Lepisosteus oculatus: one gene and its partners. The protein of the gene in region 2 purifies or fractionates together with the protein of the main gene of each other region. This does not show direct contact. Links are inferred from orthologs where the notes say so. Each region holds a gene or a part of one and is shown on either strand. Other genes may lie near its edges. The genes, in order: rbl2, e2f1 and sirt1.

Region 1 (11,078 bases), on a different chromosome or scaffold from region 2:
TACTATTTGAACCACAAAATAGCATTTAAAAGAAGTAAAATGTACTTCTCTTCCATATGTGCAAATGCACCTACTGTACAGATAACCAGCTTGCTCTGATGTTGCGGAGGACTTGATGGGCTGTGTGAGATCGTCCCTCCGCCCCTGCAGCCCTACTCACCCTTGGCGTGAACAAACAAGATCCAGCAGAAGCTGAAGACCTCCGACACGGTGCAGGGGTGGCGTCTGCTGGAGATAAGAACAGTCAGCCATGCTTTAGCAATCCTCTGTCGTGAGCACAGGGCCGGCTCTTGTCTGGGGCGAACTAGGAGCCACTAGGGGTGTGTGCAACACAACACATTTTTTAATCGGCATGTTCGAATGTGAACCTAAACAACCCCCCAGTGGCACTTTCCATTGCTGCTGTGCTAATCTGGGCTATTAAAGTCTGTTAGTTATAAATTATAATATTATTGCTTTCGAATGCAAGTGTAGCAGTTTATTTAATTGTGCGGTAAATGACTCTCGTCTTCTGTGTCTTCTGCGTAAGATGACGATACCAGTGCAGTTTGAGCTGCTGCTACGCTGGGTGCTGTTAGTTTCATTTCGGAAAATTAGTAAATGTTGTGACGATCAATTTTATTCATCTTTCATTACATCTAACGTAATCAAGCGTTACACGTGACCTTTGACTTTCGTTGCAAACTATGTTGTAATGAGTTAAAACTAAAATCATGTCGCTGCAAATAATAAATGCACATGGTCCCCCAAAAGGACGCTGAAATATGAGATGGAGCAGGATAAGTGATTTCAAAACAGAGGTACGTCAACTCAATTCATGTATGTAATAACACATTTGTATTCCATGTGGTTTGAGTCAGATCCATGTGACTAGCGAACGGGACACAAGCCAATTTTCTAGCTAGAAATATAGACTACTTGAGGTGGTTTACAAGAAGTTAGGTTTAGTAGTCCCATTTCATGTTATTAGTTTCAATGTTAAAATACGTTATCTTTGTAAAATGTGTGCTTCTTTTGTTCTTGTTTGTAATTCGTTTTTCATGTGCTCTTGAAGGCCAATAATAATAATAATAATAATAATAATAATAATAATAATAATAATAATTTAAAATAGTTTTTTAGTTATATAATCCATTTATCTAATTGTTCTAACTAGTGAAATAAGTTTGGGTGGGAGCTGGTAATAGTAGTGTATGTGTAAATTGGGATCTGGAGGGTCCCCTTTCCAAGATCTTGCCTGGGGTCCCCAAAAAACTGGGGTCCCCGGCAAGGAGAATTCGAGCTGAGGGAGGATCAGAGCAAACTGCAAGCTGCTAACAGCTGGAGTGAGTGGCACGACTCCGGTCGGGACTAAGCTGAAAGCAATAGAGAGAGAACTGGCTGGTGTGTCACTGTGCCAGAGCCAACGAGAAACTGGACTTGAGCTCATTCTGGGCCAGAAGGTGACACAGCTGGACACCGCTTTCACGCTCAAGACTCGGGGACAGAGACCGCCAGGCTTTCCTGTCGTCGCGGCACTGAAAAAAGCAGGGGGCGGCCGGCGGACTGACCGCTGCTTGCGGCTCCTCTGCACCCGCGGGGGGTCCTGGGAGGGGTCCCGGAAGATGTCTTGGAAGATGGGGGCGTACTTCTTGAAGATGACGGCGGAGACGGTGAAGTTCCTCTCCAGCTTCCTGGTGTGCTCGCGGAAGTGCGGGGGCAGGCTGGCCATGTCCTCCCACTTCTTCATCTTGCTGAAAAACTCAATCAGGCTGCCAGGCCAGGGGAGCCGGGGTTAGGGACGCGGGCGTTTAGCCTCTAGTCAGCTTGGTCACTGCAAGCCTGCAGTCATATTCCTTTGTCTGGCTGATGCCTTTGTCCAAACTGACTTACGTGTGTACCCAACTGTCCAGCTATACTGCTGGTATTTCATGAACAATGTTAATACCAGTCCCAGTGAATACAAGCATGGGATCGCTGTAAGCATAAATAAAGAATATTGAGAGGAGAGCACCTCCTTAGTTATTTTTAGTGCTTTTTTAAATGAAGAGCTCAACCTGCTGACAGTCCCTCTGTTCACTCTCCTGACTGAAAGATTCCAGTCTCCTGCCGGACTGTAGCAAATGAAAGAACTGGACACATTTGGCATTACCATACCTTGAGTCCAGCCTTATCTATCCTCCCCTTACAGTGTCAATGAGGTATCTCGCTCAAGGGTACAACAGTACTGGCTCACAGGGGTTTGAAGCATCCAGGAGCCCAATCACCACCCTAAACTGCAGCTCTTCTCAGCCTCGTGCACATCTCATCGTGTGAAGCGTGTTCCGAAACTTCTGGCCGACATTTTCCAATTCAACCGCGACCTTCTAAAGATAAAGTGGTTCCTAAAAACGCATGGAAGGATGTTGCCACATAGAGGGCCTTGTGTAAACTCAATGGGTAAGCCCTTTCATCCCAGCAAGTCAACCAGACAAATGAAAAATACACAACTCCCCACATGAGGTTCTTCCATTAAGATAGCTGCAGTGGTATCAGCACCCTGAGGTCGTGTTTTCTCCGGATGAGAAGGAAGAATGGCTCTTCACCCTTCTTGGCTTTGCCTCTCCACCCTCTGGCGTACCTACCTCTGCTCAGAGCAGCGCAGGATCCTGGTCAGCGAGACGTAGTTCCCCTCCGCCGTGCCCTTGCCCACAGTGGGGACGGCCGTCCTGCAGGCCACGTACAGAGAGCAGGCCAGCCAGTGGAGCTCGCTGCCCTGCGGGGGAGAGGAGACGGGGGGAGGGTGGCAGGTCTGCAACACTGGCTCTGGCTCTTGGGCTTGCAAGTCCAGCACAGAGAGAGCGCATGTTTCATCTCCCACGCTTCCTGTTGTTTTTAAGCACAACTCCCTTCTGGGGGGCTGATAACACACAATATCTGCAGGGGACCTGCAGGGTTCCTGTGGGTTTTCAATACCTGGAATATGGACTTCCTTGCTTTGCGTGGTAGAGTGCCTGTGGCCCTTTGCTGTACTTTCCTCAGGGTGACCTCAGTACAAAGGAGGAGGTAAGACGCACACTAATGCCTCCAAAACGTCTCACCCTGAGCCAAAGATTTATGTTCTTTTCCTCTCGCAAAGGGCACTGCGCCTTCCTGGCAGGGCTCTGTAGTGTGAAATCTGAAAAGAGGCTCCTTTTTCAGTGTAGCTGCCGTATCCCTGCTTTCAAATCAAATCAAATCAAAGTTTATTTATCAAATGCACAACAATACATCGTGCAGCAGTGGTTGCTGGCAACTAAATGTCTTTTCCGCGAGCTCACCAAAATCACAAGAATCTCAGAAATCACAAAAATCACAAAAACACCAAAATCACAAAATTGAGGTTATGAAAATAAGGTTTCATAATGATAGATGTCACCTTATTTTCATTACCTCAATTTTGTGATTTCTGTGTTTTTGTGATTTCTGTGATTCTTGTGATTTTTGTGATTTTCCAGTGCGTCTGTAGGGATTTCGGTGTGCCTTGAGTGGCCAGCTTGCTGAGACACGGCATCGTATTTGGTGGCGATATATTTCTACTGGATTATACAATATGACCACAGTGTCCAGTCCAGTCAGGGCTGGGAGGAGTGATGCAGAGCTCAGATCAGAAGGAGATCAATTCTGAAGCCCTGCTCACTGAACTCAAGGACCAGCAGCTTGGACTTCTTGAATATTTGGAAAGCAACACTTTAACACTTTTTTTTATATATTATATTATTGTAATCTAGTTTAGATTATGTAAATAGCTTCTTTTTCATTTGATGAAAAATATTTCAATTTTTAAATGGAAATAAGGGCCATACCCAGACATTTCGTTAAGTTACAGCAATTATGATACAACCAAATAACTGAAAATCATCATCATGATCATCATCAATAATAATAATAATAATAATAATAATAATAATAATAATAATAATAAATTCTTGAGATGTGGCTAGACGTTTTTATCAAATACAATATTGATATCAGTTTTCATCGGAGATCGTTCCGTTGGCGTATGTCTACGAATACAATAATTGTTTTAATTCATTTATTACCGTTCACACTCGGAAAATAACAAAGCAATAATCTAAAAAAGGTTATATATTATTAATTAAAAATGTTCGCTCCCAGCAAACACCTTTTACTCGACTAAAGCCGCCCAGAAAACGACATATACGGGTTGATTTTAGTAAAGGTTCAAGATTGTATACCATTTCTATTACGATGTCGGTCCTGGGCTGAAAATACCAATTCGCCACACAGAAACGATAACGATAGGTTGCCAAGCCGATGGCCCTCCCCTCCGCGTCGCATCGTTAACACTCACAATAATGTAAGAGAAAATAATGTCATTACATTGTACGAGGATATTTGCCCCTTTTCTTCTTTTAAAAAAGCTACTTGGGCTACATTGCAATAGGAAATAATATTGATTGGTCAGTGCGAGTTTGTGCTTAGGGACTTTTTGGATCACTACCATTTTACAGTCTCTAAACCGGTGCGATTGTATTGCACTTGGCTCGGCTGTCTTACCTCTAAGGTGTAGTTTTTGTTGATTTTTTCGTAATTCCTCCAGGCTTCATCGCCGGCCGCCTCGTCCATATTCAGCGCCCTGCAGAGATCCTCAAACCTCTGTCTCGTCGCCTGAGAAGCCTCTTCCTCTTCGTTCATATTTGTTTTATTGCACTCTTCGCTCAACTCGAGATTAAACAGACACCAGCCCAAAGGAAAACCACTTCAAGGCTACGAGGGCATGACAAGAAGCTGCATTAGCAGTTTCGAAAAACACTTTACTAAAATGCATGCATAAATTAAAAGGCAAACCTGTATCGGTGTTTTGTACAGTGCAATTATGTAGCCCTGTACAGTGTAGCCATTTAAATGCCTTTTGAGTGACAGCTGCTACTGCCGTACGCTGGATCCGTACAGATCCCCTCCACAGCGCACTGCTGCGCAGAGTTTCTGGCGTAACAGCTTTGGTAAATTAGCGGTAGCCTGCGACCAAAGCCCGCCCCCAAAACTGCGTCCCACTTTTGGAATGGATAACGCGGAAGTCACTCAGAGCCCAAACATAAACTTCCTGCAGCCGCGGAGCGGAAAATGAGGCGTTTATTTTTTTTAAAACGAGCTCTGCACTGTTTCCTTTTCGAGAAAGAGAGCGCTGCATTTATGCTTTAGTTCGCTCTGTTGCAAAGCCTGTTAAAACTCATAGAATGAAGTGCTGAACCAGTTTGTGACTGGAAACATAAGAGTCCACTCTGCACACGAATCTCGCTGCAGAAGGTTTGCAGGACTCGTGATTAAAATTTCTGACGTTTTATGTGCAGCAAAATTGTCCTTTCCGCTGAGAGTATTACAAGGAAGTCGGGTTTAGACTGTATTAAACAAACACCCAAAGAACCACAAGGATTAAAGCACAGTCCAGGCTGTAGGCAGCTCTACTGTCTGAACCACAGGGCCTGGGAGGTGGGACTAGAGTCCTCTGGACCTGGGTCTGTGCAGCACTACTAACACAAGACACAATGCAAGGCTCTCCAAAACACAAGAGTTAGCCAGGCTTGAGCAGAGTGCAGTCAACCCTTTGTGTATTATCATAATTCCTTATACTCATATTCCATCACATTACTGGGGCACTAGAACCCACAAACACAGCGGGGTGATCTACTGATCCCTCTAACACCTCTTCCAGCAGCAACCTTAGCTTTCCCAGGTCTAATCCTCTGTGTTTTGCTCTTCTGATGCCTCCTGAAGGGCTAACTGTCGTCATCAGCCCTTTACCCAGAGGTGTCCAGTGCCAGTTCTGGTAGTCTTCAAGGTCCGTTTAAAGCCACAGCACCCGAAGAGCTGGCCCGGCTCATTAAGCGTGGAGTTGAAATAAAATCATGCAGATGCAGGGCCCTTCCTGTACAAGGGCTACCAGTTGCACAGAGGAGTCCATCACTGGTCCGCTAAGGGTCTTGTCCCACAGGGGGACCGGCTCTGGGTGGTGGGAGGTCTGTCTGCTGCTCAAGAGAGATGAAAAGCTTTTCTGACCCTTATGCGATTTGTCTTTTTATTTTGAACCTTATAGGACATTCTCTTACATCCTGGAATGCATCTGAGTGTTCTTGGGACTTATTTCATTGCAGCATCATCTTGTTTATAAAAGGATGAGTAAAATTATAAGACCTGAATTAGGTCTTAGTAGTGCGTTGTACAATTTTAACAAACGTTCAGCATTTTTATTATTTAACCGAACACAGTGTGCCTGTCTTTTGATAAACTCGCCTCATATTTTTGCGATGTCAATGACATTACCCCGCAAAAGCACGGAAAAACAAAAGTACAAAATTCACTTGATTTGATCTTAAAATAGTTTTTACTTTGGAAACATCAGTTAATATAACGGACACAGACAGACTTCGTGGATAGTCAAAGAATATGTTTAATAAAAATAATTAAACTTCCATTTCCTCTATAGAACTTCATAGAAAGTAATTCAATAAATTACAAATGACTTTAAGACGCTTTTTTTTCCTCCACTACAGAAAGCATTATTTGACTACACAGACCACAACTTGCAAATATTGCAACTGTCCAAAAGAAAACAACTTAAAATGACTTTCAAGGTTTTATCAAGCTGAAAACAAAAGATACAAATACAAGGCAAGGATAGCTATTTTCTTCTTCAGCAACTACTTTACATAAATGATCTCCTTTGTCCCCTTTCATGTCTTAGTGTACATACTTTTTGCAACACCTGCATACAGTCTATTTGCATATTGGTTGGCTGAAATTTAGGGTACACGTAGATGACCTTTTCTGAGGCAGGGGGTATCCATTAACACAACCTGGTCCCAGCAAGTTCATATCCCCATAAATTGCAGCAGCGTAATAGGACAGGGCAACGAAGTCCAAGACATAATTAAAATGAGACTAAACTGCTTAACTAGAAAATGTGTCAAATACCTGAAGACAAAAACACAGTGGAGGTTGAGTGCAAGTGGAGATGTTTGGTGGAGGACTCTAATCTTTATTCTAGATGGAAATAACATTTGAATGCTTGAACCTTTTTGTTCAAACCCAGAATGCAAGTGACCGACTCTACAGTCCAGTGCTGGGTGCTTATGGGTACAAATGAAAGTTGCTGACCAAATTCTCACCAAAATACTGAAAATGCACCCTGGACACCAGTGTTAGGACTAGGTAGGTCGTAAAGGGGGGGAGGAGATGAAAAATATGGCAAGCCACTGACTGCACTGAATGCAGATTTACTGGCACCCTAATGATTTTAACGAGCTCAGATTGAACGGTAACCTTCCTTTGCACTCGTTCACTAGAGTGAACAGCAAGACCTGTAGTTAGGAAATGTGTTTTTTTAGCTGACAACTGTCACCAGAGTGTCATGTTCAATTAGCAGGAGAAACGATAATTGTGTAGAAAAAAATCAGTATTCAGCTGCTGTTCCAGCAGTATTCTGTATTCCTTATTTTAACTATATATAAGTAGGTTAATCTCTTTTAGTCTATGCCAAAACATGACCAGAATAGACTAGTAATACTGTCATTGGAGAAAGCTTCCCAAACTAGGCTCAGGGAAAACTTTACTAAACATTCTCCCCACAATTAAAATGTTCAGTAATCAGTTGATCTAATTTTTGGCAACTCCTTCATTAAGGTAACTGAGCAACTGTAATGCCTAAACTGGCAATACTTGCAGTAATACCAAAAGTATGTATTTTGTGGTTGAATTAATTAAAATGGCAGAGGGTTATCCACATTTAGATGAGACTCAAGTCAGGACCCCTTAGCCATAAAACTTCAAGAAATATTGTTGTAGGTGACCTATTCTACTTAATTACAACTGCAATAGACTGCACCTAAAAATTCAAGGTGGTCATAAACTGGGGTATTCCAAAATGGCAACAGCTTGAAACTGTCCCCCAGCAATGAGATTTTGGGGATCCCCTACTGTAGAGCATACTGTAATGAGAGCTGTGGATGAAAATTACAATGCAACTCCTTCAAGCAGAGTCTTCTCCACCATTTGTCCTCTAACAAGAGCACAGATTCTGTGTACAACCTGTTTTAGAGGAGCGCTTGTTAATAGCTCATACAAATGGATTTCACAGGTCTGAAAAGCGTCACTCCATCATGGCCCTCCTACAGGGGTCAGTACATATACAGTGTCCCACCATATTTATTCAAATGCCCCCATCTCTAGTTTAGATACCTCCATGCCAGCAATCTCCCTCTCAGCCCATTGCGTGACTGTGCACTAGCTCTGCAGAGCCTAGTTCCCAGACACCTGCTTCATTCCGATTGGCGCCGTGCTGCACTGAGGCGCTTGACACACATCTCAGTCAAGGCAGCGCATTGTTACTCGTTCTCACTTGGCAGGGCGCAGACACGGCCCTGCACAGTTTCAGGAAGTGCACAGCCCCCCCTGGGGGGGGGGGGGGGTCTCTATAGGCCAGCACGTGCAGGTGTGCACAACACACACACACTCCACGCTACGTTACGTCACAAAAAAGAGCAAAGCAAAGCAAAACGTGCTCCGAACTGGAAGGCCTGCGGAAATACTTCTGTCACGGTTTGATCAAATGTCAAAATTAAATCATTCATCCCACTAGCAACACAAGGACTCAATGGCTCCAGTCTGGGGGGGAAAAAAACGAGGCCAAGAAGTCTGGTACACAAAAGTTAACAATTAACAAAAGCTCATCAAGCTTCTACTCTGCAAAGACCACACTGATTCAGTTAACAGTTTTAGTAGTGTTGCAAGCTAACTGGGAATAGAACACAGATTTAGCCTGTATAGTATTTGGCAACAGTTCATTAGGAATTTCCTATACATACTGCATTGCTTTCCATCTGTGCCTCTGCCGCCGTTCATAAAAAAAGTACTAACTTACCCAAACGGCTCACACTATGCCTAAATCCTGATCCTTAGCACAACACCACTTATTGCTACAAAAATTAAAACAGCAGAGTGGTCTTCATAAAATTGCAAACTATAAAATTTCATCGCTTTTCATTATTTATAGCTTTATCATGGTGTTACAACAGCCTCCCTCAATACACCGATACTTGCTTTTGCGTGAGAGCTGACGTCAGCAACTGAGTGCAACAAAACAATTCATTTCATATCGTAACGCTTTAGTTGCTCAGAACACCAGGGATCCGTTTGTAAGGACTGAACAGAGAGCGAGGCGTCTGGTACGCAGTTCCCGGCGACCAAGACTCTGTTCCTTTACAAACCACACACTCACAGTTACATCTGATCCCTCCTCTACCGTCTACAGAGCCCGGCACAGGAAGCCGGAGAAGCCTGAACGACAATGCCGACAGAAGTGTGGCTCTCTCTCACAGACTTTTCTTCTGAGCCTTGGGGGGGGGGCGGTGGGGCAGAAATGCCAGAAAGAACAAAACAAACACACAAAACCAAATCGGGGAAATGAAAGAGCACAACACCACCAGAGCCCGGTGAGTCAACGTAGTCACAACAGTCAGCTAGGCGAGAACAACACTGTGCAGGACACTCGAGTCTTTTATTTCTGAACTGCTAACAACGAAGTAAACTGCTGTAAACTCGACACCAGAACTCAGCTGAGGTAACAGCCACTCTCGTTGGCTGACTGGGAAAGGTTTTCGTTTCCCCTCTTTGTTATTTTAAATTAATATTCTTCCGAACACACAGTTGTACCTGAAGTTGATTTTTTTCCTCTTCCCATCAGCAGTGCACTACAACTCAAGATAGCGTTTCTAAAACTTTTTTTTTTCTTTTTAAGCCCGGCTCCCGTTCCCACGCGGATTATCATTCGGCACGGTTCCGACTCGCTCCGCTGTCTGGTTTCCACTAGCACTCAGTGGTGTGGTTCTGGACTTGCACCAGCACAGAGCAAACAGGTTTATCGGTGTTTATCCACAGAAAACAGGTGCCTTCTAGCACAAGGCCTCTGTTACTGACCTGTGCAAGAGCACATAAGAACCTAAAGTGCAGTTAAGACAACCCATTGCTAAAAGAAAACAATTATATACATTATATATATATACACACACACGTAGATAGGCGTGTGATGTATACAGCGATAGCCAAAAGGCCTATATACTGTTAATCTGTCACCTTTATTCCTTCCCTAATATCACACAAAGCACTTTCTAGACGGAGAACCAGCACAGCAGGAGTAAGACCGCACAAAGACATGCCTGGAGCACCAAAGCAAACCACACTGAAGGGAGCAACAGCTTCTTTAGGATCTGCAGAAAAATGGCAAAGAACATGTAGAATCTACAGCTTCTGTGACATTCATTAGCTGCCCGAGTTATTGCTGAGTTTTCCAAAGTTTGATCTGTAAATTATAAGTGTCAAGGAGGCTGTAAAACTATTTACAAATTAAATCAAAATATGTATAAAGTCCTGTGTTTTTTATCCCCACTCCAAATATATTAAATGTACAGCTCGGCTCGAGCATTAATTTTCTCTTTTTTTAATAAAATTAAACCCCAACAAAATTATAATAATGCCTTTTTTTTATCTGTTGCAATTGTACACCATTGTGTTATACAAGTTCATGTATTTCAGAAATCTAATAAAGGTTTACATGCAAATTGTCTTTCAAAACAATATTGTACCTTTGAACAAACACTGAAATTTCATTTCAGTTCTAGATAGGGATCTTTTCTTTTTTCATTTTTTCTTTTTTTTTTAAATGACACAACACTTTCTTCCGTTTTTGATATTTACAAAGAAAAAAAAACACAACGTAAGTGCAGGGTTATCTATATATAAATATATATATTTATATCGAGACTACACGGGGCTCAGTCTTCGTTGCTGGAGTCCGAGTCCTCCGACGACGAGGAGGAGCCTTCGGACTCGGACGACGAAGACCCGGCCTTCTCCGAGCCCTCCTCGGCACTGTTCTCCTTCTGCTCGCCGGGCTCCTGGCCCTTGGCCGGCGTGCTCCCGCCGGCCCCCCGCGGGGTCTCCCCTGAGGCGGTGGCGGCCGGGCGGGCACTCGTGCTCTGTTGCTGCGCGTCGAACACGCCGGACTGAGACAACGCGGAAATGGGAAGATTAAGGCCTGGAGTGAGAAGCATCCCTGGATACAG
Region 2 (10,632 bases):
CAAGTTTACCACAGTTTATGTCTGATTAAATGGGTATGCAGCTTGGATATCAGTGTTATAAGACTGTGAAACATAAATATCACAGAGCTTGATTACAGTCTCACAGTCTGACTTTCTCAAATAAGTGTATTCTTAATGAAAGCTTTAGCAGGTAATACAGTTAAGAATAAAAATAAGAAAACAGAAAACCATATGTTCTTTTAAAAAATGTTTGTGACAGCCTGAGGGACAAACTGAAAGCCATCACCCAGGCGACGTACACCCACTCGCGGAACCTGGCCTGCTTCGTCTTCACCTACAAGGGGCTGCAGGCCATACAGCAGCGCCTGCAGGGGAAGAGTCAGCACTACCACTCCTTCCTGGCCGCCTGCCTGGGGGGCTGGCTGGTCTTTGGAGACAATAACCACATCAACAGCCAGGTGACCAGCGCCTTTCCTTTCTCACTCTACATCTGTGAACCAGAAGGTTGCCTTTTTCCAACTTACAGTTCAGACATCAGTTTGCAGACCAGCTGAACCTACAGGAACATCTTATCTGATATTATCTAACATGTTGGTTACAAGAATACCTTAATTACCATGATCTAAGATGAATGTGTGAACCTTAAAAGGAATATAATTAAGTGTAGTTTAACAAACAATGTTGATGATGCACAAAAAATAAGTGAATCTCAGCAGTTTATGTCTGGAACTGTATTCAGAGATGGCTGAATTGGCATTGCACAAAACAAAAGATGTTTATCTTGATCTGCTTATAATGGAGGAGAATTTTGCTTGCTCTACAAGAGAAGAAGTCGTTCAGGCTCCTGGGACAATGACAACCTGTATGGAAAATATACTCTTTGCGCTATACTAAATTTGGAAAAGCAAATTTAGCAGTAAATTTATTTTACCTTCTCTCGGTAATCCGGGTGATCATCTGTTCCACATATGGATTGACTGTGCTAGCTGGGAAATTGGAATAGTTGGTAGTGTATTGCAAGGATCGCGGGGATGGCTTAGAATGATGAGGCACTAAAGAAGATTGTCATTGTTGTGAATTGCATAAAATCAACCTGGGCATGCTGGTTTGTTTTTGTGGTCTTTAAGATGTTCTGGGGGATGTAAAATGAAAAGAAATATCCCCATATTAAAAGGAAAAGGAGCTTGTGAATGCCTTACCTAGACTTACTGGTCACTCGGTAGACTTTTGGCCCACAGACACCTGCAGCCTTGCAGCGTGTCATAAGATGGGACTGTTCTGAAAGACAGGCATGACATCTGTGGAAAGCACATCTGTGGATCCCCCTTCTCTCAATGTGAGCTCATGAGTCGTAGCCTGAAACCCAGGTTTTAACCACGGTTAGATATAGAACACAACAAGATACTTGAAGTTTAAAATTTAGAAAAAAGATTGACCCCACACTTGAAATATAAGAGGTTGAGGGAAAAAAAATGTTTAGTTGTTATTGTACAGTCTAATGATCTGCAAGTTTTCCTGCTTTCTGTATACAACCAAGTTTGGAGCAGGCATTAAAATGGCCAGTGAGAAGGAATGCTTTTATAAACGTGCACAACTGTACATGATTGTAAATCCAGTTAAGAGGAAAATGGGCAATGTGGAAATGAGTTTTTAAACTCATTTTAAGAACTTCCCAGCAGCTATATCACCATGCAATTTACAACTGGTGACCCACTGAAGCTGAGCAGGTGTGATCCTATCCAGTACCTGAATGGGAGACCTCCTTGGAAAGCTAAGGTTGCTCTGTGGTCTTTAAAAATCCCAGGGTGTTTCTCGAAAAGAGTAGGGGTGTAAACCCGGTGTTCTGGCCAAATTTCCCATTGGCATTTATAAATCAAGGCCTCGTAATAATCCCCATCTATGAACTGGCTTTATTACTTTGTTCTCCTTCCCATTGATAGCTGGTGTGTGGTGAGCGTTGTGGTGCACTGTGGCTGCCGACACATAATCCAGGTGGGACTGCACATTGGTGGTGGTGGAGGGGAGTCGCAAATTATCTGTAAAGCGCTTTGAGTGGAGTATGCAGAAAAGCTCTATATGAATTGTAAGGAATTATTATTAAAAGGGGGACGGTGCAAGAACTATATTTGAAAATTGAACACTACAAGGAAGAATGCATTACTATTTGAAGGCTGTCAGATTGTGAGCTGTGCAATATGGTACATTGCTTTCATTCTCCACAGATAAACATGTACCTTTTGTCCCGGATCCTGTTTGCTCTGTCTCGCTTGGCTGTAGAGAAGGGCTACATCCCCCAGCCGAAGAGAGATCCTTTCCCTCTGTTCGCAACCCTGGTGTGGGGCATCGTGCTGTGGCTCTTCGAGTACTACCCCCATACTCTCCAGCCTTCACTCCAGTCCTCAATGAACTACCTCTACCACGACAGCAACACCTGGCATGACATCTCTGACTTCCTCCTGTACAACAAGCCCCGGGCTGGGGCTCAGAACTAACCTTCCAGCAGCTTGGACCCTTATCTGGGACGGGCTTGTCGGGTTCTCTTGCAGGCAGTTCAGATCAGTTAAGATGAAAGTTCAGGAAAATCCAGCCTTTTTAGAAGAATGTTCGTACTACTGTTTCCCCTTTGGTCTTGGGCTTGTTTTGCATAGCTGAAAGTCTATTTACTAAATGTGTATTGTGAGTGGGTTAGCAAGACCTTTATGACCCAGCTGTACATTTCAGAGGAGTCTGGAAAAATGGATGTCAATTTGGTCTTCCATCATTAAACCCCATCTCTTTAGAATTATTTAATATCATTAGAATTGGAATTTTCTTGGGGTGGGGGGAGGTGGTTTGGACCTCACCTCTTTTCAATACATTCTCAAAGAAGACATTTCCATTCCCTTAGAGGTGGGAAAGCAAAACTGGCCTCCAGCACTTCTTAGATTTTATATTTGACTAACTTCAGAGTGAAATCGCAGCTGTTTCCTGATGATCTCTGAAGAGGGCTGCCTTTCCAGAGCAGCTGTGTAATGTGCATGAATATTTTCTAACATTATGATTGAATAATGGAATGTCAGCTTATTTTCAAGATATGCCAAAACATCCTTCAGTTTTTTCTTGTCCTAGGTGTTTATCAATTTCTACGTATACTGTATATTAACCCTGAGACCAGCAGATAGTACTGTAATGTACGTGCTGTTTTCCATAAGGTTTCCAGTCACTCATCGAGAAAAGGTCCTTGTAGTTTAATTTGGCTGTGTATTTTTAAAAATACTGTTTACAGTTTACTTTCTTAATAGTTATTTGTTTGCAAGTTCTGTGTAATACAGTAAAAGTGTACAGTGTACACTTTGTTCCTTAGTTTTGCACTTACAGAATTACTAAAACCTTGTAAACAGTTAAGTTTTTTTCTTAAATCACTGTGACACGTTAAGCCTATGGTATAGAATGGTTAATATTTTTTCTGTTTTCACATTTTATGCTATTAGTTTTGATGCATGACAGAATCATGATTTTGATTCTTCAATTGTAATTCTTTGAAGTTTTAATCAACAGTAGTAACTTTATTCTGTCATGATAGTTCTTAAATGAAATAATTGTCTTTAATCATATTGGGCATAAAAATAATAGGACTATATCTTAACATAAGAACAAAACTCCCATGGCATGATAAGGCAGGATGGTAAATATAGGTTATCAGTTTTTTTAAATTGGATCAAGTTCTCAAATGCACTACATATGAAGCTTCACTGAACAGTTTTTTTATTAATAGAATACTATTATTTATATCAATAGTTATACTTTATTATAATAGAATAATAAACCATTCCATCTTCTCTTTCATGTGGGTAACAACAATAGAAGTGATTTTTTATATCTACATTGCAAACTCAGATTCACAACAGTCGTTTTGGAATTTGGGGTTTCTGAGCTTTGAAATGATTTGCTTCTCAATTGTACTGTAGAATTTTTTTTTTTCTGTTGTAGTGTGGGCATGAAAGGGCTGGCTTGGTTAAAACCCAGAAAACACGCTGCCTTGTGCTAATTTGTTGTTTAATCACTTAAGTTATTCAACATTTCAGAAGGAAGGACAGCCCCCCAAAATAACTGGTGAATCTACAGGACAGTGTTAGGAGACCCCTGACTTTAAAGCTTGTCTGAGTGAGCTAAAACATTGCTTTTGCAGAGTATTACCACTGAACATTGAAACGCACAATATCCAATATTTTTAAATAAGTTTCTCTTTTTCAGCCCAGGTCTGCCTATTCCTTATTCTGTCCTGAGTACTGTAAGGAATTGTAGCTTCAGGTGAACTGGACTGGTTCTGTGTCTCTTGATCTATGACTCTTGAGTATGTTTTGCAATCTGTGACAGCAGTCTTTTTTTAAACCTGTTTATTTTTAAATTAAGGATCCAATCCTTAATGAGAAGCAAACTGAGATCATGTTAAGAGTAACCGTGCTGATCATCGCTGTTTAAAGTCAAAGCTTTTATCCAAGTTACAGAATCTGAGTGAACATCAAATATAATACTGAAACAAAGTGACAGTGATTTCCTTTTAATGTTGTATATAAAAGGCACTTTCTAAGTGTTGACTCATCACTGAATGCATGCCATGTATATTGAATTTTGCTTAGTATATGTAAATAACATAAACTGCTCAGAATAAATTTTTTAAAGCCCTACAGTGCATTTGTTCTCTTTGTTGGCTGTTGAAAATAATAGGATCCCTAGTGTACAGATATAAAGTAATGTTGTCATTTGTGTGTTCTCCTATTTACTTTCAAATTCTATGTAAGCTTATTGTTGGCAAAAAAGAAAGTGAATTGCTTGGTTCTCTCTAGCAATAGTGTCTAATCTGAAGCAGACACGTTCATGCTCTAGTCTGTAAAGACATGCAGGGCTGGGCCCCTTATCTGTGCTGCCAGTAGTATGCAGGACTGATGAACAGTGCAGGGGCTCCGCAGGGGTGGTGTGGTGGCTCTGTGTGCTTGCGGCTGGAAGGTTGTGGGTTCGAATCCTGTGGTTCTGACCCCTAGCTTCTCTCCCTGTCTCTGTGTCTCATGGAGAGCAAGTTGTGGTATTTGAAAAAAGACAAATTTGTAATATAAGAAATTGTTTATGGCCAATAAAGTAGCCTTATCTTATAAATGAGCAAACTTTCAACCCTTAGGTACTTGTTTAGGTTGCAGTGGCTGATCAGTCTCAGAAGACCCAGCCAGCATCTTCCTGAGGTTCATGGGAGTTCTGGCTTCAATATCTTGGCTTGGCAGTTGTTCCTTGGCATGTTGTGGGTCTGTCCAGTAAATGTTTAAGGAATCGGAACGTTTTGTGATTTAGTCACAAGCTTGTTCAAAATATCACATTTTTACGTTTCGGCAAATTCCGTACTGGAAAGAAAACCTGCATCGTTCACAGTTTAGGAGTCTACACGCAGCACGTTAAATAATTCTGTTTCGGATTGCTGCGATTTTCGGAAGGCCACGTTTTTCAGAGGGGGTGATTATAATCTCACACGAGTGACATTAAACTCCTGTGATTTCTGCAAGAATTTCCTTTGTGCTCGACCTCAGTGAGTGAAGACCCGCACACAGACCCATCACCTTCCTGCTCTCCAGCACAGCTGCCCTTCGCGGGGGGTGTGTGGGTGGAGCCAAAAAAAGGGTAGGTGCCGCCCCGTCAGTGCAGAGCTCCTAGAGCTCCACCAATCCGGAGGCGGGGTTAGCACACGTGCAAGTTTCGCGGCAAAAAAGATTTGGCGCGCAAATCCCCAGCTCTTGTCTGATCAGCTGGGACAACAATAACAATAACAAGAACAAGTTGTAGATGGGGCGACGGGGGTTCTGTTGCGGAAAGTACCATACATTCACTTCTTAAGGACTATTTTTTTCTGAATTTATGCTGGGGAATTTTTCGTTGTTTGGCATTTTGGGTTGTTGGAAAACATCTGCTTTTACGCGTATGAAGGATTACGCTGTTTTCTGCTTCCTGAATACTAGCTCAAAAACAGGGGTGTGCTTTTATTTTCGCCTAGATCAATGGAAAGAAACGGCCGCAGAACGAGAGCATATAACTGAATGGACAAGGCCCTCGGGATGTTCTTGATACACCTTTTGATTTCAGATTTATGTCTGCTGAAAGACAAAATGCGCTGCGCTAAACTTGAAAATGGAATTTAAATGAAGAAGCACCAAATATTTTTAGAATATATGGAATCAAAGCATTCATGCTCTAGAGATCATTAAGATGGACAGTATTATTTTTGTGCATTTCGCAGACACGAATGGACTGTATTGATATCGAATCGATTTGTGATCGTAAGGCGCAGACGGAGCTGGGACAAAGGGCAGGGTGCTCCGGAGAACTTGAAAACCGAAAGAAAGATCGTGCGGTTGCACGGGGTTTTTACAGAGGCTTAGTGAAGAACTTAGTTGAGAATGTGTGTTTTTTAAGGGACCTTAACAGTTCGCATTAAGATGCATAGATGCATGCGATAAGAAAATGTATAGTTGATTATACAATGATTGCGTTACTGGACTGATGTAAAATGTAGGGAATCTAAAATGTAAAAATCCTGTTCGCACTCAGAGGCGAGTGTATGATTCAAAACGAAATTGATGATATGGGAAAAGTCTGGCTTTTTAAAGTTAAACTTGTGGCCTTTCGCATTTTATACTGACTTATTGTTTCGACCGCTTTCTGTCAGGCTGGTTTGAGGCAGACTAGGGGCCTGTAGTTAGCAGTCGAGCTCTCTTGAGTCTTTGTTGTGCGTTGCAATTACAGGTCCTGAGCTATACCAAACATGTTTCACTTGCGCACCCACAGACTGTAATTACACGTAGCCGAATGCCAGGGTTCAGCAATTGGCTTTTATGTGTTATTAGGATATACACCCTGTAGGTACAGTGAGGCAGGTTTACTTCGCGAAAATTAACATTACTCTTAAGATAATGGCTCCGGTTGTACTCCTGTTTTTACCATTGTTCCACGCGGAGACATGAAGCTTTGCCACTAAAGTATCTCAATTACTGCCACAATCCGAGCCGGGCAAAGAAGGGGGGGAAACGGGCAGCCGACCCGCGGAAGGCCATGTCCGAGACAGTGGTCACAGGTCAGACTTCGGAGGACCTTCTGGCTGACTTTGAGTCCATTTTGGGATCGGGAAGTATTGAGCTGAATGAGGATCAGATTGTCATTATCTCCACGCCGGCGCATGTGGAGATCCAGCCCGCAGGCTCCAGCGGCGCGGCGGAGATCCTGCTGTTCGCCACCCCGCAGGGACCTGCCCCGGAGGACGAGCAGCGCCGGCCGGTCCTGGGACGCCCTCCGGTAAGGGCCTCTCTGTCCCCCGGACAGAAATACAACTTGTAAATGCAAGAGGCTGCTCATCTGTTGCGCAGATGGATAAAGTCCGATATATATGGGCATATGGTCTAGTCGTGGGAAGTGGCTGTTGAATCTTTTATTGAAGACTCACAGTTCATTCAAAAATATAACGCTCATGAAAATCAACAGGTCATCATTGTGCCAATGGCGTTTTTACTAGACTGGGGGTAAAAAAAAAAACATATTGCCAGGCATGTTTGTTACTGAGGATTGTCAGGAAGCGTAAAACTGGTCATTGATTTTTGTGGTTGTCGCTCGTGGAGTGGTGCAATAATGCCCTGTTTTGTGTTTTGATGGTTTTTCTGAGGATATAATAACAGCAGTTATAAGGGTACTGATGAGGCACAGTGAGGATTGGTGGTGGCCTGTCATTCTTCCACGACAGTAGTTTAAACTGGTAGTTTGTTGGTGTGGTGGGCGAGCTGCAGGTTGGTCAGGACTTTTCTGTCCATGTGGCCAAGGGAATCTGCATGAGGAAAAGGCTACAGTTCGCACAGCAAATGTAGAACCGTGATGCTGGCGCTGTGTGAGAAATCAGTTAATGCGAAGTTTGTTTTATAGTTAAGAAAATTGACACCAGAAAGATGAATTGCCTTTAGGGACGTGCGATTCTTTAAACATTAATGTTATGCACATGATCAGATCATCCTGTGTCAGTTTTGTGCTCTCCAGTATTTAACGTGCTGTGCTTTTTCAGCAAGTGCCATGAAAGTATGAAGTTGACGGTGCCCTGCTCTGTGTTTCCAGACCCATGCAGAAAACTTGAGTGACTGAACAGCTGAGATGAGGGGTTGTGTTGAAGGTAGAGCTAGGCAGCTGGTGGGTTGGGCGGAGGGGGGGGTACAACTCTGTTACAATTTTGTCAGGCCGCTCCAGGTCGCTTTTTCCTCTGGGTCTAGATACCCTCAGTGTGCTTCCCCGGTTTCAAGTCATGTACCCGCCACTGACTTGTCTCTCCCAATTCCGGCGCAGGTGAAGAGAAAGCTGGACTTGGACAATGACCACCAGTACGTGTCCGAGATCCGCCATCCACCCCGAACCAGGCCTCGTGTGCCGGAGAGAGGTATGAGCCAACCACTTCCCTGAAAAAGTACTTTCGAAATCCCCCAGCATGTGAGGAGATCGAATTCAGTTACAACACCCTTCAGAAGGAGGGTATAGGAAAGCCAGCTGATTCACCAGATTAAATAAAATAGAGAATACAAAGTATCTGTATGTCTGAGCTTGAGATTAATATAAATGCATAGAATGGGTGGTACAGTGGTTAACATTGCAGCACTGAGGGCCGGTGTTCAGTCCTTGGGGTGCTGTCTGTGTGGAGTTCGTATGTTCTCCTCATGTTCCCGTGGGTTTCTTCCAGGTGCTCCAGTTTGCTCCCACAGGCCAAAGACATACTGTGGCTTGTGTGTGTGTTTGCGGACTAGCGTCCCGTCCAGGCTGTAACCTCCCTTGTGCCCTGTGCTTGCCAAAAATTCTGTGTCGTGGCAGCCTGGCTCTTGGGTTACTATACAAGAGTTATACTTTCATGTGCCTCTGTGCTCTTCATTTCCACAGCAGGAAGACCTTCCTCGGTTCAGTAAATCTAGAGGAAGCCAAGTTTTCTGCCTTCTTGACTGTGGTTGATTGAAGGACAGTTTCAGAGAGGAGGGGGAAAACAGCTGGAAGCTTGCTCCCTTGGCTCCTGAAGCCGATACCTTTCAAACACCAGCACGTTCATATTTTGATCTCGGGTACAACAGAGAATATGTAAGAAAAGAGAGGTTTTGGAACACATCTTTAAAGCAAGCCTCTGACATCTTGAGGGTCTAGCAGGCGGTAGAGGCACATTGCAGCAGGCCTACCTCTATCCAGGTGGCTTGTGAGACTTAGGCACTTTGAAAGCAAAAAACTGCCAAGGAGACTTTATTTGAACAAACTCTTCAATATACACAAACTAAAGTACTCTAAGTGGCCCAGCACTTTTCTTGTGAGTCCCTTAATATAGCAAATTATGCTCAGTTAACTCCATGTGAGAGGATGTGACTCTCATCCCATCACCATTCATCTAAGTAATCAATTAATACCCCTCATGTGAACACAATAGAGATCTTAAGTGACAGGTTAGCTGAAATGACTACCCTCATTACTGCAGGCCTGCCACACACACCTTTTGCTCCAATGCCAGGACAGAACTGTTGTGGATTAGCCCTTCCCTGATTGCCCAGACTCTCCTTCCTCAGGCCTGAAGTCCCCCAGTGAGAAATCTCGCTACGACACTTCCCTGAACCTCACCACCAAGCGCTTCCTGGAGCTCCTGGCCCAGTCCCCCGATGGTGTGGTCGACCTGAACTGGGCCTCGCAGGTGCTTGAGGTCCAGAAGCGCCGCATCTATGACATCACCAATGTCCTGGAGGGCATCAAGCTAATTTCCAAGAAGTCCAAGAACAACATTCAGTGGCTGTGAGTCTCACCGCTGCTTAGCTAAGAAGACACCCGGTGACAGGAACTGCTGAATGCAGCTTCTACAGATCTGAATGTCTAATATAAATGCCTCCTGTTTTCAATCCTCATTGCATCTGCTTTGTGGTTCTGCTTTTCACCCTGTGCCGTCATTGTGTTTTGGATTGGCTTAGCTGAGACCTTGGACAGAGTTGTCATATGCACAAATGCAATGAAATGAATACACCCAACTCTCCAAGTTATGTATGCAAGGGTTCTCTTCCACAAGGCTTTATGAATCCTAAATCTTATTTAAGTCAGGAGCAACCCTTTCCTAGCCATTGCATGAACACACATAAAGAATGACTATTTATGATACTGCAGCAGGGCAGGTCAGTAGCGAAGTGGTTAACATTGCTGCCTCGCAGTGCTGGGGCCCTGGGTTCCCAAGATGGGATTTTGAATGTTTTCACTGTGCTCAGTCTCCTTGTGAGTGTGTGTGCGCATTTGTGTCTGTGTGTGCCCTATAATGGACTGGTATCCTGTCTGGGGTGTACCTTGCCTTGTGCCCATTTCTTACTGGGATAGGTTCTGGCTCCTCCACAACCCTGAATCGGATAAAGTGGTTCGAAAGTGGATGGATGGATAATGCCGCAATCCTGTCTCGTTTTCCCTAGCTTTGATGGTTAACAGGTGTGTGTTCCGATGACAGAAGGGGGTAGAGAGCTGGAGAAAATGTTCCTGCACTGTAGCTTGGAGAAAGAGAAAGGAAACTTCCTCTCTTTACAGGGAGAGACAAATGAAATAACAATGAATAAAAAAGTTTTTAAACACTATAATTAGAATGATTAAACACCCACTATAGCATACCCTTAAAAATATACA
Region 3 (10,533 bases), on a different chromosome or scaffold from region 2:
CTTTTCCAGCAAAGCGATGTAGCATTAGAACTGCTTTAGTAACATACTTGGAATAAGAGCCACTGGTCGCACTTTCAGTGAAGATCCGATGACAATCAGCAAGTCCACTTCATCTTTGTCATGTTTCATGCCTCTGTGAAACTGTTCTGGTAAGTTCTCTCCAAAGAAAACTATGTCTGGTTTCATGATGGCAAGAGGAAAATCAGGTGGACACTTGGGGCAATGAGGTACAACCTAGGAGCATAAGGAAAAAAAGTTGGGATTCCAGAGATTTTGTAACATTTACATTAAAACCACCATGGCCAAAGAAATATGACTATTAATCCATTAGCAACAACTGAAAATTATAATTACACTAATAACTTTGTTGTAATTTTAAAATGCATCCTTACTGCACCACAAATGTATGTTCAAACCATACCTGATTAAAAATGTCTTCTCTAATAGCTTCACAGTCAACTTTGTATTTACAGATTAAACAAGACGCTGTTGCAAAAGACCCTGTAACAAAATTAAAAGCCACGTTAATGCACTGTTAATTATTAAGCGGATATAAAACAGTTTAATGGCAATCAGAAAACATCTGGTATATATCTGGATTATTTTCTTTCAAAGAATCAACATTCTATAGCACTATTTATTGCCTCTGGTACAATTCATTGAATGCAGTTGTTTTCTGAATTGACAGCATATGAAGTAATTTTCTCCTCAACATTATGCATGGACCTACAGTTCCTTATAATACTATTAACTTGAAACTCTTGGCCAAGTTTAAAGTCAGAGCTCTAGAATGTCATCCAGACAGACATTCTGGAAATAAGCTAATTATTACTACATTGCCTTTCAGAAGTATTAGGATAGCAAAATTAAAACATTTTATGTATCTTATTGGGTCATTTCAAACAATATTCAAGTTAAAACAAAAACAATTCAGTGGTTTTAAGTGGCCAACAGTATTTGGATGCATATCCCTTAAAGGCAATAACTACATGAAGTCTGAGACCTATTATACTCCCCAAACTTTGTATAATCCTTTGAGATTCCTTGCCAAGTCTTTGCTGCAACCACTGCCTGTTCTTGATAGCACTTCAATTGGTTTTTCAGCATGTGAAATACATGATCAATTGATTGGCCATATGGCATGAGTCATTGTCTTGCTGTATACTGAATTGCTTCCCAATATGTATGGAAGAATGTCCACATAATCAGACAAAATGTTCCTATAATCATCAGACTTTTTTGCTACTTCTGCCATTATTAGTCGTTAATAATGTTCATGTTAATAAAGATGAACGAGCCAGTTCCAGAGCATTAATATCCTGTAGCTTGTCAATACCTCTGCCCTGCTTCCCAAATGAGATGGTGTTCTTTGAAACATCTGCAGTTCCTTTCTTTATCCACAATTTTACCTTTCCGTCACTTTTGGTAAAGGTTGATCTTTGTCTCACCTGTTCATAAGGCAGTTACTAAACTCTTGTGATTCACCTTTACACTTGAGACCAATTTATACTCTGTTTTTCCTGTTCCTGGTGCTGATGAAAGGTTTACTTTCACACACGTCATGTAGTGCAGTCTCCATTATTCTGCTCCCTATCTTTTGGTAACTTCAGCAACGAGTTGTTTGTTTGGTTTTCATTTGGACCTTTGCATGAGAAATTATTATTCGAGTTCATGGTAAAAATCCTAGTTTAGACCTCATGGCCCCAAAACCTTCAGGGACACTGCAACTCTGTCTTATAGGTTTCTCTACTATCTGAAAATTTTCATGACTTGTATTTTAAATGTATTAAACGCATCACGGACGGTAAACTAACCATGACATTGTATGATCCTTTGTACTCCAGCCACTTGCTCCAGTGTGTCGATATTCTGAGTATAGTTTCGAAGAAGCTTCCCCTGCTTATCCAACATTGCAATGAACTTATGACATGGCGACGGCTGGAACTGTCCTGGATAGATCTCCTGAGAGAGCAGAACACACTGTAAGTAACCCAAAAACTCCGCCCTTGATAGAGAATGTAAGATGTTTCAAATAATTTTAGAACATTTTACACACCCCAAAAATGGAGACCATTTCTTCTTATACTTTTAATCATCTCCTGTTCAAAATGTAGTGATTTTGGTGCATGTACATGTTAATATGCAATTTCCCAAAAAAGTAAGCAAAAAATGCTTTGGATGTAAAATATTTATTCATAACACAAGTCACAGTCACTCTGGCATGTTTAATAATGACGGCAGCGATCTGTGACATAGGCAAGGCGCTCTTACATTTAAATGAACAAACCTTGGCAAACTTAAAGAAGGGTCGCGGATCTCTCCTGAAGTATTCTATGTCAAACATCGCCTGAGGATCAGGAAGATCGGGGAAGTCAATCGCAAGCCGCGCGTAAATGCCATCACGGGATCTAAAGTCAGGTATTCCACAGGACACCGAGACCTGCAGTCAGAAAGAAATGTTTACAGCTCTTTTCACATTTCATAAAATCCAACACTAAATTACTTATTTCAAAAGACCCATGTAATGATGTTAAAGAAAGATATATCTAGGTTTACTGAAAACACCCTCAAGATTCCATTAGAAGGAAAAATCCTGTTGGTGTCCGCTCCTTCTGCGCATACAATAATTTTAAATACCTAGATTTTCTCATTTTTTCCCCAATTACAGCATTTCCTCTTATTATTCCATTAAATTCAATGAAGGAGGAGATTCAGCTCCCAGCTACAAAGAATTTCTGCTCAGCTTTTAGTTATTTAACCAAATTTTAACATCCAACAATCCTAAAACAGTGCACCATTTTAAGCTCATGATGTAGGTTTTGGAGTAAGTCCGTGTGATATTAAGAGTTACTGAGAGGCATATAGGATTATAAAAAGCTTTACACAATATGCTTTTCCAGTAACATTTGCCTGAATTTGCTATGTGCTATACAGTTATGTCTACATTATTTTTGAAACGATGTACTCCGCTGTAGCTCTTAAGACAAACACAGCCTTTCTAGTATTTCTTCAGTGACATTTCTAATAATTACATACCCCAGCTCCGGTCAAAACTATAATCTTTTTACATTCTTGCAGTAACCTGACCACATCTTCCATGGTGTTGATGTCTTTGCGTTTCTTTCTTTTTGGAGGCTCCGATATGTTGATTATTATTTGCCACAGTGTCATATCATCCAGATCAGGAGGAAGAACAGTTTCTGGGAGAAGGTCTTTTAAAATCGTTCGAGGGTCTGTTTCTCTCATAATGTGTTGCTGAATAAAACTGTAGGAGCCTGAAACAAAACATATTTGACTTGAATCAATTTTTCAGTTGACACAATCTTAATATCTCTTAAACCTATTAAATTAATTTCCAAAAGCAGTCTTCCACTTCAGCAATACTTCAACTGGAATCTCATATTCAAAAAAAAATTAAATGCAACTGTCATTTTTGTCTGCAAGAATGAAATTTAAAACCCATACACAAACTCTTGTCTTCTGAATAAAACTACAATGTCTGCGTTACTGACACAACTGTTTATTACTATTTTAAAAGCCATACCTATCTGGGGCTGAGGTGTCCAGTCACTAGAACTTGCGTGCGAAGATCTGTCATCATCGTCATCGCAATCGTAGGAATGGAATCCATTGGGCAGAATCTCATCATTGAGATCAATGTACTCTGTCAGCAAAAACAAAAGTAAGAAAACTGAATCACGGCTCTGTCTTGACCTAACTGAGTTTGTACAAATCAGTTAATCACAAAATAATGGAAACATCTTCAACGCCATGTCTGAAAAATTGAAAGACTGACAAGGAAATCTGCAGATTTTTTTTTACAAATTATATATGCACAGGAAAGAGGTGTGACTGATTCTGGTGTTTTTTTTTAATTGATTGTAGAGTTTATAATAAAGCGCCAAGTAGACGGGTATAATTCGATGTGAAATTGTATGAGGAAATCACGATTATTCGGTAAAGAATCCAGCGTCTATATAAACCGTTATTTAATTACTTTAATAACCTTATACTATGCACCCCAGACGCACTGGTACTTTCCTGCAAGTAAATCGTAAGAAAACCTTCTTGCCATACTCTTGATATGTGCACGTTCTGATCATTGCATTAGTTAATTTTCTGTACAAAACTGCGATGCCCACTTCAGAAATACATGGCCCTATATTAATCCTTAAAGTTATACACGAAAAATGCTACGTTAAATTTTACTCTCAATTTTAAATCACGAATATTATATTAAATGTATGTTCAATATAGACTATGCAGAATTTTAAGTTTTCGGAGTTTTTTGTACATGGCGGGTAAATAGGTACGCTTGGTGCAGAATGGTTACCCTTGCACGGCATTTATGTTGCACTTTTTTATTATGTAATTTTTATCCACCGGTAGAGTTGTGAAAAGTTCTACAGACTGTATTAGACTGTCCACGTTAATTCAAGTGGACCAGACAGGAGTGAGCAGCGATCGCGGAGAACTCCGTACCTGGTCGCTCTGCAGCAGAACCGCCGACCGGATCATTCTCTCCCTCCTCCCCCAGCCCCTCCTGCAGCTCCAAGCCCAGAAGCCCATTGTCTCCTCCTGGTGCAGCCGAGGCCTGTCCCACCGTCACCACCTCCTCCAACCCCGGCCGCTGTGTCGTCGCCGCCGCCGCCGACACCGCTGCAGCTGCTGGTGCTACGGCAGCCGCCGCCCCAGTCTCGCCGGCCCCGATCCCACTCTCCTGATCGATCTGAGCGGCCTTATCCCCGTAACTAAACGCCAATCCCACCTTCGGCTTTTTAGGCAGAGGTTCATCTGTTTCGAAGCCACTGGCGCTGGAGTTTAGGAGGATATTCTCTCCGTCCGCCATCTTTAGCTCACTCGGGCTCCTCGCCGCTCAGACTCGACCATAGAAATCTTCCGTGCACGACAGCTGATGGGAGATTTAAACGGACCACGTGACTCGATCTCTTCCAGCGGTGGCCCACGCGACACCGCTACCAGCCGATGACGTCAACCACAACAAACGATGTCATGTGACTAGAGTGGAGCCAGGGGCGGAACGACGCGACTGCGCAGGCGCCTTCGGGGCTGACAAAGAATGTAGTACCGTGGCTGTATCTAACGGATAACGCCTTGCTTCATCACAAGACTTTTCTCTATCTATACGTCTCTCTATAATCCATCATACTAATAACCATTGCAACTTTATTCTATGATTCATCTCGGCCATCAAACCAAATTTAAGTTTAAGCGTTATGTATCTGCCTGAAAGGCACAGGCGTTGTTGGCAAATGGCTTCCGTTATTTTATAGGCTCGGAGGCGAGCAAGTATGGAAAGCAGGGATGACTGTGTCTCTGATATTTATTGAATTAAAGATGTATATCACATTTAATCATGATAAAGGACGTTGCTTATTGCTTAATCTTTTTCGGTTAGATGATGATAGGTGCTATAAAGGGTTTTGTGCACCGATATCGGCTCTAAAACATACATACTGGTGTTAAACAGTGATTGCTAGATGCGAGATTTTGAATCACACTCTACGGTACTTTTGCCTGATATACGGAATGTAAACTAAAAGACCTAACTTAAAATTTACGAAGCGGGATAATAGACATACTAACAGGTTCTAGGTACAACGCAGGAGATGTACTGGACATCTCGACTACATATCCCAAATTGCATTGTGTAATGTAAGTCAAAGCCCCTTCAGTGTGTATTTTCTCCTCCCACCGTCGCTGGTCCAATAAACTCTGGATCAAAATGCTCAAAAGCATCAGCTGACCGTTGCGTGAAAGAACTGGAATGATTTTTTTTTTATTTTCTGAGTCATAAGATAGGCTACATTTAGCAGGTTTAAGGTAAAGTTGTTTCATTGCTCATATTTGAAGCAATTGGTACTGAACTACGCGTATCTTGATTAGTGTTGGTAAACCTTACCTGTCTTCAGATGGACGCGATTTTGAACTGCAAACCTGAAGATCTGGAAGACTACTACGGTTTGCTTGGATGCGATGAACTGTCTTCGGTAAGCTTTAAATCAGCTAAAATGAAGTGTTGAATTGGTTTACTGCTTTCCCTGTTTTAAGTCAATAACTTCTACTAACGTTGCCATTTTGCAGACCCATCTTCAGTTTAAAAGTTTATTGAATGGCGATAGAGAAACTAATTTAAACACTAAACATCTGTGTAGATGTTTAAAATGTTTTTTTTTCTTCACGTCTTTTTCTGGTGGTACTGTAGCAATTGGATAAAGGAGAGAGACACTTCTTTTTTTAATAGATAAACTTCATTGTGTTATTGAACATATCCATCGGTGTGAAGGATATACAACGTGCATCGAAATAGCACCCGTTGGTTTTCTTTAAATCCCTTCAATGGAAAACCAGTGTTTGTGTCATTGTATTGTAAGCTAACAGGAAGTGGAGAAGATGTTTAGTTATTTTGATTGATGACAGTAAGTGGAAATGTAGACTTTTGCAAGCGATTGTACCTGTTTTAATTGGTACTTGTTGAAAATATTCTAAAATACGCCTTCTTTGCCTAAGTATCATTTACATGGAACAGAAAAGAATGAACAACCCTGCCATTTTTATAGATTTCTGGGGGTAATGCTGCCGTTTTATTGTAATATTATTTATGATGATGTATTGGTGATCTGCTCAAGCTTTGGGATTCCTGAAATTGATGTTTTTAAACGACAAAAGTTATATTGGAGTACACAGTTTCACTGTTTGCTAATTTCTGGAGAGGAAAAAAAACTAAGAAAGTCTTACTGAGGATGTTCTGCCCATGATTAATTTAAATCCATGTTGTTAATTAAAACTAGAAGTGAAAGTAATTATTTATATTTAACTACACTCTGTTAGTATTGATTACTGGCTGTTAGGGTGAGATGATATAAATGTCCTTGCTAATTTCTTCACGCACTACATGCTGTCACAAACTACATATTTCAGTGTAAAATAACTCTGTAAATTAAACGATAAAATACATTGAGATCCACAAATGTTTGATGACCAGCTTACCTGTGAAGACCCAAACAACAGCTGTCCAGACTACAAGAGTTCATTTGCCAAGATATTTACTGTATCTAACCTCCCTCCCTCCACAGTAAAACAGACAAATGGGAAGTCACAATGTCAGCAGTGGTGAATTAAATGCCCAGTCATCCTTGTCAATCGATTAAGGTCCCATTCTGAGACCTGGAGTGGTGTTCTGCAGCTTGAATGTTCAGAGTGCAGCTGGTGTGCAGCTTCTGCATGATTGAAGATGTCCCACACAGCTGTCTATCAGCACTTTCACCAAGCCTCTCAGCTATCGGCTTGTGATTACAGATGTAGCATCATGAGTTCCAGAAGCTTCTAGTCATGATTAGGCATGAAGCCAGCTACAGTACACAGTGGCTGTCTAGCACATGGATGAGATGGGTGTGTTTTTTGGACACTGTAATTACAATGGGTTTAATGTTTCACAGTTTCTTTGTCTCTGTGAATAGTCTTACAGTGTAAGAATAGACTAATGCATAGATGCTGCACAAAAAACAATGTGATAAGTACTGCAGTCACAAGTGATCAGGAAATGGAATGTATTATCAGTAGTAGTAGTGAGCTAGGACTACCCTAGACAACCTTCTGGAAATGCCAAAGATCTTAAGTAAATCTAGAGATGTTATTAGTACGGAAAATAATATATTCAGTACATTATTCCGCATCTATATGTGTTTTCACTGAAAAGGTCATGCAAATCATTTAGTTTTAATTTTGTCTTTTGGGTATTTATTGAGTTTGAACAGCACTCCTCAGCATCTACTGTACTCTGCTCACGCCACACAAACAGCAGCCTTAAGGTGCCCTAAACCGTAGTCTGTCTCATCACAATATGTGTGGATTTTTCAGTCTACCAAACCCATCTATGTTCTGGACACTTGCAGATCAGCTTCCCTGACACCTATGCACAACTCTAATCTGAGAAAACTGAGGGCTGTTCAGCTCTTAACGTCATTTCATGTCTGTTGACGTTCAACAAAACACATTCTGCTCATGGTTCCCTGGATTTCTTTCATTTACTCAAGGTCACTGCCGCTTCTTCAAACCTTATGTAACATAGGCAGGAAAAAGTGTGATAATGTCATTAGAGTTCTCTAATTTGCATATCACCAGCGAAATAAACACCATTTTCCACCCTTTATGGGTATGCATACAAATTATATAATTCAGGACCATTCAAGCATTTTGCAGATATGACGTGCACAACGTTGGCTTTGCACACAATGAAGATTGTTCTCCGTTTAGATTCACCAGAGTGCTTGTTTCCACTCTTCTTCAAAGCAAGCAGTTTTCTCATAGATAATCCTTTCAGGTGCAAATCAATGGAAAACATTTCTGATAAGACTCTGAGACAAGAAAGGAAGTAGATTGTATGTATGAGAGAAGCTAGAAGGACGCAAACTGACGTGTTTACTTGTGTCTCTGGTTTGATGTCATTCCTTTTATGCATAGATGTTGCACGTGAACTCCAATTTGTAAAGAAGCACAAATATGGTATTTTTTTTGCTGTGTTGCCAAAACAGGACCAATTGATTCTTCCCAAGGTATTGTAATCGGAATTGCAGAACTGACTTAAGATTATACATTTTGTTAGGAAATGTTTCAGTTAAACCAGTTGCATAAAATGAAATAAAAATATAGCTATTTATTAGTTTCATAGGACAAGAAGAAAGCAAGCTTAGTCAAGAAATGGAGCAAAGACTGACAATAGTGAATTATAATAATAATAATTGCTTACACTTATATAGCGCTTTTCTGGACACTCCCCTCAAAGCGCTTTACAGGTAATGGGGACTCCCCTCCACCACCACCAATGTGCAGCATCCACCTGGATGATGCGACGGCAGCCATAGTGCGCCAGAACGCTCACCACACATTAGCTATCAGTGGGGAGGAGAGCAGAGTAATGTAGCCAATTCATAGAGGGGGATTATAAGGAGGCCATGATTAGTAAGGGCCAATTGGAAATTTGGCCAGGACACCGGGGTTACACCCCTACTCTTTTCGAGAAGCGCCCTGGGATTTTTTAATGACCACAGAGAGTCAGGACCTCGGTTTTACGTCTCATCCGAAGGACGGCGCCTGTTTACAGTATAGTGTCCCCGTCACTATACTGGGGCATTAGGACCCACATGGACCGCAGGGTGAGCGCCCCCCGCTGGCCCCACTAACACCTCTTCCAGCAGCAACCTTAGTTTTTCCCAGGAGGTCTCCCATCCAGGTACTGACCAGGCTCACACCTGCTTAGCTTCAGTGGGTTGCCAGTTGTGAGTTGCAGGGTGATATGGCTGCTGGCTTCACGTTACATTTGTTACATGTTACATTTTACCAGAAATCTTTTTTTTTTTACTGGAATAATGTTAAATATCCCTACGTTTGTCAGAATACTGGAAAGTATCCAGTTGTACTGTTAAACTGAGGTGTGAATTAGTGCTCCAACTGTGTACACAGTAGTGCACAAAACTGACAATCGCTGCATGAATCAGTAAAGCCACCCAGATAAGTTAAAAAAAAAAAACATTTTTGTTGTTTTTATATGATTTACATTTCTGTCAAAGGAACATTAATGATTTTTTTTCTTTTCTAGGTGGACCAGATCTTGGCTGAGTTCAAAGTCAGAGCTCTAGCATGTCACCCAGACAAGCATCCGGAAAATCCCAAAGCAGGTATTTACTCTTCTACTGTGTTTTCTGCAATGTTCACATGCACTAAGCAGTGTAACTGAATAACATTTTAAACGGTGACAAGTAAATGTGTTCACATTTAGTGTGAATATTTATATTTTCACTTTTTCATCTCCTTCTTTGCAGTTGAAATTAACTTTTGATCCTGCCTCAGAACTGCAGTCCCAGACTGCCCTAGCTGGGATTGAAATGCAAGCCTTAACCCTTGAAACAGATGCTGTAAAACTGACCTCTTCCTTTCCTATTGTCAATGAAGCTGCAATGTCCACTACTGATGTAGACTAATTCTGTAGATCTGAAGTTCTTTACTGTGATTTATTATTTTTGCAGTTATTGGGTTAGCTGATTTCTCTTACAGCATCTATTGTTCCCTTCACTGGGCTCAGATGCATCGCCACAGTATGTTCCAGGGTACAGGAAGTGTGTGTTATTCAAGATCTGGCCTAGGGTACAGGGTACAGTCATCTAGATGTGAAATTCATGACCTTCAGGATTTGGTACTCATTCCTTACTTGATGGGAGATGAGCCCTGACAAATGTGATGTGAGTGACAGCCATGACTAAGGGAGCCATTGATGCCAAACATACAGTGAAGGGAAAATGGCTGTAATTGCAGCCAATTGTCTGGGAAAATGCTTGAATAATAATTTTGTTTAAAACTAATAGTCCACCTGTCATTGGAGCTCTTTGAGAACTGTTTTTCTTATGACCATACTGAACAATATCGTTTTAATTTTACCTTTGCAAACCTCTTCCTTTAAAACAAAGAACAATCTTCTATATTTATCCATAACAGAATTGTACCTTTTATCCTGTT

What was found.
Region 1: the proteins of e2f1 (region 2) and rbl2 purify together in Homo sapiens (affinity purification with western blotting; 3 studies listed by BioGRID and IntAct, with this or other methods). This does not show direct contact. The link is inferred for Lepisosteus oculatus from reciprocal best matches to the Homo sapiens genes E2F1 and RBL2.
Region 3: the proteins of e2f1 (region 2) and sirt1 purify together in Homo sapiens (affinity purification with western blotting; 3 studies listed by BioGRID and IntAct, with this or other methods). This does not show direct contact. The link is inferred for Lepisosteus oculatus from reciprocal best matches to the Homo sapiens genes E2F1 and SIRT1.

The regions. Positions count from the first base shown.
Region 1 is NC_090715.1:2,786,917-2,797,994, reverse strand, and holds the start of rbl2 (retinoblastoma-like protein 2), read right to left. Parts: upstream 4,884-11,078; 5' UTR 4,657-4,883; coding exon 4,519-4,656; intron 2,735-4,518; coding exon 2,604-2,734; intron 1,752-2,603; coding exon 1,551-1,751; intron 229-1,550; coding exon 161-228; intron 1-160. Other genes in the region: chd9 (chromodomain-helicase-DNA-binding protein 9), read right to left, coding at 10,788-11,078. UniProt on the Homo sapiens protein: Key regulator of entry into cell division. Directly involved in heterochromatin formation by maintaining overall chromatin structure and, in particular, that of constitutive heterochromatin by stabilizing histone methylation.
Region 2 is NC_090711.1:15,206,973-15,217,604, reverse strand, and holds the start of e2f1 (transcription factor E2F1), read left to right. Parts: upstream 1-5,695; 5' UTR 5,696-7,032; coding exon 7,033-7,272; intron 7,273-8,301; coding exon 8,302-8,392; intron 8,393-9,548; coding exon 9,549-9,768; intron 9,769-10,632. Other genes in the region: pxmp4 (peroxisomal membrane protein 4), read left to right, coding at 221-419, 2,184-2,453. UniProt on the Homo sapiens protein: Transcription activator that binds DNA cooperatively with DP proteins through the E2 recognition site, 5'-TTTC[CG]CGC-3' found in the promoter region of a number of genes whose products are involved in cell cycle regulation or in DNA replication.
Region 3 is NC_090699.1:33,368,644-33,379,176, reverse strand, and holds the start of sirt1 (NAD-dependent protein deacetylase sirtuin-1), read right to left. Parts: upstream 4,850-10,533; coding exon 4,483-4,849; intron 3,665-4,482; coding exon 3,545-3,664; intron 3,276-3,544; coding exon 3,037-3,275; intron 2,441-3,036; coding exon 2,288-2,440; intron 1,983-2,287; coding exon of another isoform or gene 1,963-1,982; coding exon 1,815-1,962; intron 502-1,814; coding exon 422-501; intron 235-421; coding exon 48-234; intron 1-47. Other genes in the region: dnajc12 (dnaJ homolog subfamily C member 12), read left to right, coding at 1,929-1,982, 5,934-6,011, 9,620-9,698. UniProt on the Homo sapiens protein: NAD-dependent protein deacetylase that links transcriptional regulation directly to intracellular energetics and participates in the coordination of several separated cellular functions such as cell cycle, response to DNA damage, metabolism, apoptosis and autophagy.